Arabidopsis thaliana: one gene and its partner. The protein of the gene in region 1 interacts with the protein of each later gene in a pairwise test. Each region holds a gene or a part of one and is shown in the gene's direction. Other genes may lie near its edges.

The links. The genes of interacting proteins can lie anywhere in the genome.
Region 2: the proteins of EMB2719 (region 1) and DSS1(V) interact in a two-hybrid assay, tested with the Arabidopsis thaliana proteins (one study listed by BioGRID).

The regions. Positions count from the first base shown.
Region 1 is NC_003070.9:7,000,545-7,006,070, reverse strand, and holds EMB2719 (PAM domain (PCI/PINT associated module) protein), read left to right. Parts: upstream 1-1,638; 5' UTR 1,639-1,760; intron 1,761-1,895; 5' UTR 1,896-1,916; coding exon 1,917-1,995; intron 1,996-2,088; coding exon 2,089-2,279; intron 2,280-2,470; coding exon 2,471-2,611; intron 2,612-2,700; coding exon 2,701-2,837; intron 2,838-2,938; coding exon 2,939-2,993; intron 2,994-3,081; coding exon 3,082-3,192; intron 3,193-3,559; coding exon 3,560-3,799; intron 3,800-4,149; coding exon 4,150-4,662; 3' UTR 4,663-4,984; downstream 4,985-5,526. Other genes in the region: AT1G20220 (Alba DNA/RNA-binding protein), read left to right, coding at 44-118, 236-292, 400-456, 576-809, 890-981. UniProt on the Arabidopsis thaliana protein: Acts as a regulatory subunit of the 26 proteasome which is involved in the ATP-dependent degradation of ubiquitinated proteins.
Region 2 is NC_003076.8:18,166,390-18,170,380, reverse strand, and holds DSS1(V) (DSS1 homolog on chromosome V), read left to right. Parts: upstream 1-1,997; 5' UTR 1,998-2,159; coding exon 2,160-2,250; intron 2,251-2,799; coding exon 2,800-2,930; 3' UTR 2,931-3,375; downstream 3,376-3,991. Other genes in the region: AT5G45020 (Glutathione S-transferase family protein), read right to left, coding at 1-126, 207-335, 402-626, 706-882, 963-1,175; AT5G45000 (Disease resistance protein (TIR-NBS-LRR class) family), read right to left, coding at 3,376-3,544, 3,635-3,991. UniProt on the Arabidopsis thaliana protein: Subunit of the 26S proteasome which plays a role in ubiquitin-dependent proteolysis. Also associates with the TREX-2 complex that is required for transcription-coupled mRNA export.

The DNA.
Region 1 (5,526 bases):
CCTGCTGTCTTTTTTAAGTTTTTAAATTATCTCTTTCTTGTAGACGGATCTCCTAGAGGCAGAGGAGGAAGAAGAGGTAGAGGAGGAAGAGGAAGGGGAAGGGGAAGAGGTGGTAGAGGTAGGATTACTTTAGAAATTGTTTATACAGTGTCGTAGTTTCGTTGTAAGCTTTTGCATGTGATTTGTGGATAAGCGTTTGAGTGGACTGTGCTAATTCCTTTTTTCGACTTATCAGGAAATGGACCTGCGAATGTTGAGTATGATGATGGAGGAAGGGGAAGAGGTGGCAGAGGTAGGATATCTTTAGCCAAATCGTATTTGAGTATAGATTTTTGCATATGATTTGTGGATAAGGGTTTGAATGTGTTGTGCTATTTCTTTTTTTGTTTGATTTACCAGGAAACGGATATGTGAACAATGAGTATGATGATGGAGGAAGGGGAAGAGGCGGCAGAGGTAGAATTGCTTTAGAATATTTCTTTCCAAATCTTAGTTTTACCTTTTAACATATTTGCATGTGATCGGCGGACAAGTGTTTGATTGGCTTGTGCTATTTCTTCTTTCGGATTTGCCAGGAAGTGGATATGTGAACAATGAGTATAATGATGGAGGTATGGAGCAGGACCGGTCATATGGCAGAGGACGCGGGCGTGGGAGAGGAGGTGGACGTGGTGGTCGAGGAAGAGGAGGTTACAATGGCCCCCCACCACCTTACTATGAAGCTCAACAAGATGGAGGAGACTATGGATACAACAATGTTGCTCCTCCAGCAGACCATGGATATGATGGTCCTCCGCCTCAGGGACGTGGTACGTTGATGATTTTGTTACACTAATGTTTTCTCATTAAATAATGATGAGTTGTAAATGTTTAAAAATTGTTGGAACAGGACGTGGCCGTGGAAGGGGAGGTCGTGGAAGAGGAGGAGGCCGTGGTGGATTCAACAGATCAAATGGAGCACCTATCCAGGCTGCTGCATGAGCGACCAGGGTCATTGAATGAAGTTGGATCTTTCTTACATTCTCATGTTTTTGTCTCTGTTCTTCAAAGCAACTTGTTGCCGTAGAATAATCTTTCGTTCATGTCGCTTTAGGTTATATATATCCTCATTTATTTTATCATGGATCTTGGATTTTCAAGTTTTTATTCCTTCAAGAGTTTTCTAGTTTTGTCTCTTTTTTGAGTTTTGGATATTTGTTTGACTCCAATTACATTCGTCGGCGTATTGACACTAACAAGTAAACAACCCCCTTTGGCATTGCCTTTTTCCATTGGTTCGTATATCAGTTGATTATATATTCTAACAACATAAAAAGATAACAAGAAAAAATAATGAATAATAAAATTGTAATTCCAAGTTCCAACGTGTTTTGAGACAAAAAGAAATTAACCCAACTTGCGCTGGTTGTGTTTTGGGCTATTCGAAGAAAGCGTACGAAAATAAGTGAGAGAGGTCCAAACAAAACTAGTAACCAAAAAGTTAATCGCCGTTGCCGGGGATCGAACCCGGGCCACCCGCGTGACAGGCGGGAATACTTACCACTATACTACAACGACATTTGTTGCTCAATCGTAATGTAGAAGATATAAATACTAATATGGAAAAAAGCTGTCTTGAACAAAAAGAAATATACTTTTTTTGTTGTGTCCAAAAAAAGGAAAATACTTAGGAAAGAAAAGAGTCTCAGCAGCATCAGCTCGTCCTTAAATCTGATCCATCATCGTCACTTTCTCCCGGCGAATTCCGTTTTATCGATTTAGTAAGCTCTCTGTCTTTATCTCTCCGTCTTTCTCAGTCAACAAATTGGTTGAAACTTCAATCGGTTCCTTGAAATCTCACCGGCTTAGTTGCATACTTCTGCAAAAACCCTAACCTTGTTTTTGTCTTTGTGAAGAGTAACGAGATTTGTGCAAAGATGACTCAGGACGTGGAGATGAAAGATAACAACACCCCTTCTCAATCGATTATCTCTTCTTCTACCTCTACTATGCAGAGTAAATCTCGATCTGAATGCTTTAATTCTCGAACTGTTTTCATAATTGCTAAGTTTCTTCTGGGTTTTGACGCTTTGTTTCTTTGTTTCCCAGATTTGAAGGAGATTGCAGCACTCATCGATACTGGGTCTTACACGAAGGAGGTTCGTCGTATTGCTCGTGCTGTGCGTCTCACTATAGGGCTTAGGCAGAAACTCACCGGCTCTGTGCTCTCTTCCTTCCTGGATTTTGCTTTGGTTCCAGGATCCGAAGCTCACTCTCGCCTCTCTTCCTTTGTTCCTAAGGTATTTGTGGGTTTTACTTCTTCACTTTGATGTTTCAGAATTCTCAACTTGGTTGTTCCTTTTAGCATCTGGCTTTAGGTTGTTTAGATTCGTGTTATGGTTGTTATACTTTCTTTTGATGTTGTGAATGGCAAGTTATCTAACATACAACTGGCTTAGAGACTGAAATATTGGAACTTTTAATGGTTTAGGGTGATGAACATGACATGGAAGTTGATACTGCCTCATCGGCCACACAAGCTGCTCCTTCTAAGCATCTACCTGCAGAGCTCGAGATCTACTGCTACTTCATTGTTCTTCTTTTTCTGATTGATCAGAAGAAGTACAACGAGGTAACTACTGCTGTATCTTTGTGTTTTGTCATAAGTTACTTTTCTGTTGTGATTTTAATTTTAATGAGTTGCTTTTAATCATCTCTTAGGCTAAAGCTTGTTCTTCAGCAAGCATTGCTCGTCTCAAGAACGTCAACCGAAGGACCATTGATGTGATAGCATCAAGACTCTACTTTTACTATTCTTTGAGTTATGAGCAAACCGGTGATCTTGCTGAAATTCGCGGGTTAGTAGCTCAAAGACTGTTTTAGTTTTGTACTTTGTCTTACACCTCATATTAATCAGTAGCTCAATAGTTAATAATCTGGTCATTTTTTCTACCTGCAGTACTCTTCTTGCGTTGCATCATTCTGCAACGCTAAGACACGATGAGCTGGGTCAGGTATGTCTTTGTTTAGCTCATTCAGTCGGCATTCATTATTTTGAAACTGTTACTTGCTTCTTATTCAAATTTATCATGTTGAATGCAGGAAACCCTTCTGAACCTGTTGCTACGTAACTATTTGCATTACAACCTCTATGATCAGGCAGAGAAGCTAAGATCAAAGGCACCTCGCTTTGAGGCTCATTCAAACCAACAGGTAGCTCTTGGCTATTCCTTCATACTCTAAGTTTTCTCGGTTCTCTAGATTCTATATTTGCATGAAAACTCCAATGCCACTTCTGCAATCTTTCCAGAGAATTATTTTTTCTATTCGCTATAGCATTTTCCATCTAGGAGGCTCTTGTGTTTTCTTTTCAATCACTAATTATTTGCCGAACTTACTTGAAGTGTCCATTTTGCCTGTCCTTTTCATACTTCTGACACCACCTCTTACCATTACCATCGATCTACCTTGTGTTTTTCTTTGCTACATATGAATTTTGTTCTTTTTTTAACCCTTCAATTGTTACTGTTTCAAAAGAATAAACAGCAAGATGACTTGTCTAAAACATTATACTTTGCAGTTTTGTAGGTACCTTTTCTATCTCGGGAAGATTCGTACTATTCAGCTCGAATATACGGACGCAAAAGAGAGCCTTCTTCAGGCGGCCAGGAAAGCCCCTATAGCAGCTTTGGGCTTCAGGATCCAATGCAATAAATGGGCAATTCTGGTTCGTCTACTGCTGGGTGAGATACCAGAGCGTTCTATCTTCACTCAAAAGGGTATGGAGAAGGCCCTCAGACCCTACTTCGAGCTAACAAATGTGAGTCCACTTTCATAATCTTGCTGCTGTGACATGTATTCATTAATTTATGAGCGGATAACTAAACTGGTATTAGTATGTGGTCACTTGTGATCTTGCTACTTCACTTCTGATTTTAAACCGGTTCCTACTTTTCACTTACTGGCCTATACACCTCTTCTGTTAAAATCTCTCTGTGGTCACTTGAAACACAATTTTGTTGCTGCTGTTGTTTTCTGCTCCTTCGAATTATATTGAACATGAATTTCTGGCTGTTTACTGTTGCTTTTTAGAGATATATGATGCAACTGGATAGTTGATACTGATTTTGATCTGAGGCTTACTATTAAAGCTCTGTTTTGATTTTACAGGCGGTTAGGATTGGGGACTTGGAGTTGTTTAGGACAGTCCAGGAGAAGTTCTTGGACACATTTGCTCAAGACAGAACGCACAATCTCATCGTGCGACTCCGCCACAATGTCATCAGGACTGGACTGCGGAACATAAGTATCTCCTACTCAAGAATCTCTTTACCCGATGTTGCCAAAAAGCTGAGGCTCAACTCTGAAAACCCTGTGGCTGATGCGGAAAGCATCGTGGCAAAGGCCATACGCGACGGAGCTATTGATGCTACAATCGATCACAAAAACGGATGCATGGTCTCCAAAGAAACTGGGGACATCTACTCGACGAATGAGCCACAAACTGCGTTCAACTCAAGAATTGCTTTCTGCCTCAACATGCATAACGAAGCTGTCAGAGCATTGAGGTTTCCTCCTAACACTCACAAGGAGAAAGAAAGCGATGAGAAGAGGAGAGAGAGGAAGCAACAGGAAGAAGAGCTTGCTAAGCATATGGCTGAGGAAGACGATGATGATTTTTAGACAAAGGTCATCTATTTCTTATAAGAGTTGACTCTCCATCTGTCTCACTTTTTTTATGTTCACAAGTTTACTTGGTACTCTTCTCATCGTCTCTAAGTGTTTCTTTATTGAGGATTTTTATCCTCAGGAACCTTTTTATTACTCTGGTTTCACTTTAGGAAAAGATATTTATCTTGTTGGTTTCAGAAGATCAAATTCAACTTCGTTTAATTGTGTTTGGGAGATTTTCGCATTTTAAGAATTGAACACTTGTAGTTATAGCTAGCTGTATTAGGTGGGTCATTATTAGAAATTGACCATGTGAAATGCTATCATCTCCAGGCGATGCATACCATTAAAATCCACATTCATAATTTACATTAAATGATAGATAAGCAGTCATAAATATCTAAAGAATGAAAACAGGACATGTGTATTGACCATTATGTGTATTGATACATTAGTCTATCTCTGCCAAACTAGGTCTCATTTTCTTGAATAAAACAATCTCATGTTATGCTTTTAATTATAGGTGTTTCTGGTTCGATTCATTAACTTCTTAATAATGACAAAAATCTGTAGAATAATACCCGGGCTCTTTGATAGCTACAACTGCCAACTATTTAATCCATACAATCAAAATGTAATTTTCATAATTGTAGATTTGTAATGGGTCAATATATTCTTACACTCTAATCATATCCAAACAAGCTCCTCAATTCCTTAATCTTGTTGTATCCAGTATCCATATTTTGTTTTCTTACTGCGGAAGTTACTTGGTAGTGTAGTCTGGATTTCGGATTGCAGACTTTGCAGTCCACGATTTTTCATATGTTGGTGACAACGAACAAGTGTTAAGTTGACGGAAGTGTTCGTAACAAACGA
Region 2 (3,991 bases), on another chromosome or scaffold:
CTTAATGTGTTCCATGTTTACGGTGCTACTCATGCCGTGTATTTGGTAAATGTCTTTTATGTAGTTGAAGATATTCGGGTACTCCCGTAAGAGTCTCTTGTTGCATTTGAAGTGAACTGCATAAACCTGGAACGCAGAAAAAGATGATGTCAAGAACCTGATGGATTTTCTATTTGGAAACAAAGAAGACAAGTTGACTCATATACCTCATCAAATCTTATGAGAGTGACGAATAATCGGATATCTGCTTCAGTGAAAGTGTTTCCGCAGATGTATCGTTGTTTTCCGAGTACTTCCTCACATCTATCTACTGCTTCATATAACTGGTTCACTGCCTGGAGAGAAAAGGGATCAATTTTTGAATCCCTGTTCAAATGTTTAAGACATTGAGGGATATATACCTCATTATAGGGTTCTTGTTTCCTTGCAAACCCACATTTATAAACACCGTTGTTTATTCCGTTGAAAACCCATCCGTTAGTCTCGTTGATTACGTCTCTGAGATGAGAAGGATAAAGGTCAAGTGACGGGGTTTTCGCAATACCATTGAACTCAGTGTTGAACATCCGGATTATCTCTGAACTCTCATTGTTAACAACAGTCTTAAGCTTCTTATCCCAAAGAACCTAACATAATAACAAAACAAACATTCAAGAAACAGGACAAAGAAAGATTAAAGAGTTCACCAAAGAGATCAAAACTTACAGGAACAGTGTACTTCCCTTCATAGTTTGGGCTAGCAATCTCGTAGAGTTCTCTCACACTTTTGGCACCATTAAGATAGTCAGGCTCAGCTCCAGGGAGCTCGGTATCCGAATCCGGGAAAACCCATCCTCTATGATCATCAGTTTCCTTGGTTCTTCCCCAAATGGCATGAACCGACTAATCAAATCAAATAAAACAGAAATGCTTCAGGTTAACAAAGTCTTCTAATTCGATATGAGCAATGAATTTGTACTAACCGAGAAGGTGATTGCTTCATCAAGTCCTTTGATCTTTAAGTAAGAAAGACATCTACAAGCCCATGGACAAGCATAAGATATGTAAAGATGGTATCTTCCTGATTCAGCTGGAAACTGAGAATCAGGATCTTGTGAAACAAAGTTGCGGAATGTTGATGCTGTTCTTACAAAAGCTCCAGATTCTGATGTCTCATCAACCCCAGACCTAGCCATTTTGCTACTAATAAAAAATCAAACACGAAAATTCACATGACAAACGAAAAGAATAAAAATTTCAGAATGCACAATTTTTCTTTTTCACCTCAATAGAGTGAGTAAAGTTGAAAACTTTGAGAGATTTCTTATAGATGGTCACTTGTCACATAATCAATCTCAATTTTCTCTAGGTAAAGGATCACAGGAAACGAATCAAAGCATCAAAAAGTTCAGAAATTTCGAGTAGGGTTTTACTTAATTATCTCATTAGAGCTAGAAAAAGGTTAAAATAAAATGTTCATAATTCATAGCCTTCAAATATGATTTTCAACATTTATGGATCATTGGGCCAAAATCAAACCCAGAACTCAGAAAATGTCTAACAAGAACATGATTCATGCAGAGAAGAAGATAAGAGACAAAACCTGTTGACGACGATGTTATGTATTTGGCGTCGAATGTCGCTGTTTTGTGGCGATAAGGTTAAAGAAGAAAAAGTGAGCTTTAAGGAAAAATGGTAATGAGGGATGTCATCTTATAGTGAAAGAGAAGGAATCCGAAAAAGGACTTTGCTTTGTCTTCACTGCTCTGTCACGCCTAGCGAGTTAACTCAGACTAACGAGTTGACTCAGCTGGGTTCTGTGGGGAAAGCGTGACAACTTTTGGACCGGTTTGTATGTCATGGATTTGGTCAAGACGAATGCGACTATTGGACCGGTCTAAAACAGCTTCTTTTAAACCTCAATCGGATATTTTTAATATTGGGTCGGATTCGGTATGAATCATATAAGATTCGGGTCGGATTCGGTATGAATCATATAAGATTCGGGTCGGTTATTGGAAATTGGTAATTTTCCCCTTCTTCAAGTTAGACCCAAAACGAAAAAAAGGTTCGTTTAAAGAGCTCTGGTTGGGTTTAACTTGGAGGAATTAATCGAGTTTGGTGATCTTCTTCTTAGGTTTTTTTCTCGATCTGGTTGATTTGCTTAAACATCTGTAACTATGGCGGCAGAACCCAAGGCAGCTGTCGAAGTGGTGAAGGTGGATCTATTCGAGGACGACGATGAGTTCGAGGAATTTGAAATCAACGAAGGTGATTTTTTTGTTTTATACTAATTGCTTCTTTGATTTTCGAAATTGATTCATCATCGGTTATAAAATTAATGGAGATAAGAGCAAATTTCATTAGCAACTGATTTGGTGATTGATTAGGTTTTGGTATAAATACAAATTTTGATTCTGCACTGTCTTATACAAACTAAGATAGTCTCTATTGTATGAAGTTGGGTAGTTCTGATGCGAAAACGGATCTGTTTGATATATGTTTATGATGATGAAGCTACGGTCTCATAAACTTGATGGATAATAGTGCAGTTTTATGAGCAAACTACTGGTGATTATGTTTGCATTATTAATCGGCAAGGCTTCATGAGCTAAAGGGCCTAAAGGTTATGGTGGATTTAGGAATTATTTGGGGGCATTGAGTAGCTTGGGGGAGAGTTGTACAATTCAACTTAAGCTAGGATCAGTTTCTGATTTTAACAGATTTTGCTTTGCAATGTTAGTTCAGTCTTGAGATTTAACAAATAGCTTTATTGAAAGAATTGATAAAGATGGATATTTTTATTGTTATGTTTGGCAGATTGGTTGGAGAAAGAGGAAGTGAAGGAAGTTAGCCTGCAGTGGGAAGATGACTGGGATGATGATGATGTCAGTGACGACTTCTCGCGTCAGTTAAAGAAGGAGCTTGAGAATGCTAGTGAGAAGAAATGAGGTCCAAGATTGCGAGAAAGGCAGGTCTTCTCATTTAGGGAACCTTGGCTTTTTTGTTTGAATTGCATCCTTTGGTTTATCGTAGCATGTATCGGTTCTCCTTTTCCTTTACACATTATACTCTTCCTTGGATGCAAATTTCTCGTCTTTGAAGATGATAAATTTGAGCTGATAGTAATTCTATTCTGATAATCACCATCTTCTCTCAACACAGTGCGGTGTGGACATGGATTGGTTTACTATGTACATCACAAAATAACCGTAGAGATAACATTCAAATAGACATAGCTGATGTGCGTCACAACATTACATATAGTGTTAGCGTCCACAAGCCAGAAGCGAGAAAACATCATTTTGTTTCTAATATTAACATAAAATCTTGTGCAAGACAACAACCAAAAACGGAAAGCCTAATAACAACTTACCAATTTTCAAAAAGTTCACATCAGGCATAGGCATAGGGTATATGAAGACAGCAAAGATAAATGTAGCAGTCAAAGCCCTCAAGAAAACTTCTCCAATACCTAATTTTCTTCTTCTTCTTCTTCTTTGGAGAGTTTGGTAGTAATCTTGTAACCTCTTTAACAATGGCACCGACAAGAGCAAATTCGTTCCTGCAAAATGAGTGAAAGAAACTGATTAGACGACCTTACCACAAAGTCGATCTTACTACAAAACAAGAGTTCTATTAAATATTCTATTACATGTGTGCTTCCAAGCTCAAGCCAATCCTCCCTGTAACAGTAGATGACTTCAAGGATTTTTCCCAACTTTCAACCATCATTGGTTCCATAGCAAATCTCTCTTTTGTGTTTCTAAAATGTATTCCAAACTCTCCCTCAAGTCTTCTCACTTCGTTTGTTTTCACACTGTAGAAGACTGGAATGACCACGAGTTTTCCTTCCTTGGCAAGCTCTTCCATCTTCACAAGCTCGTTCAAACACCGATATGACTCAGAATACCTCTTTGAGAAGATGGCAAGCGCGATATTCGAGTTCTCTATACTCATGAACACTTCTTGTTTTTGTCCACTTCCTATAAGCTTGAAGCTGTCTTTGAAG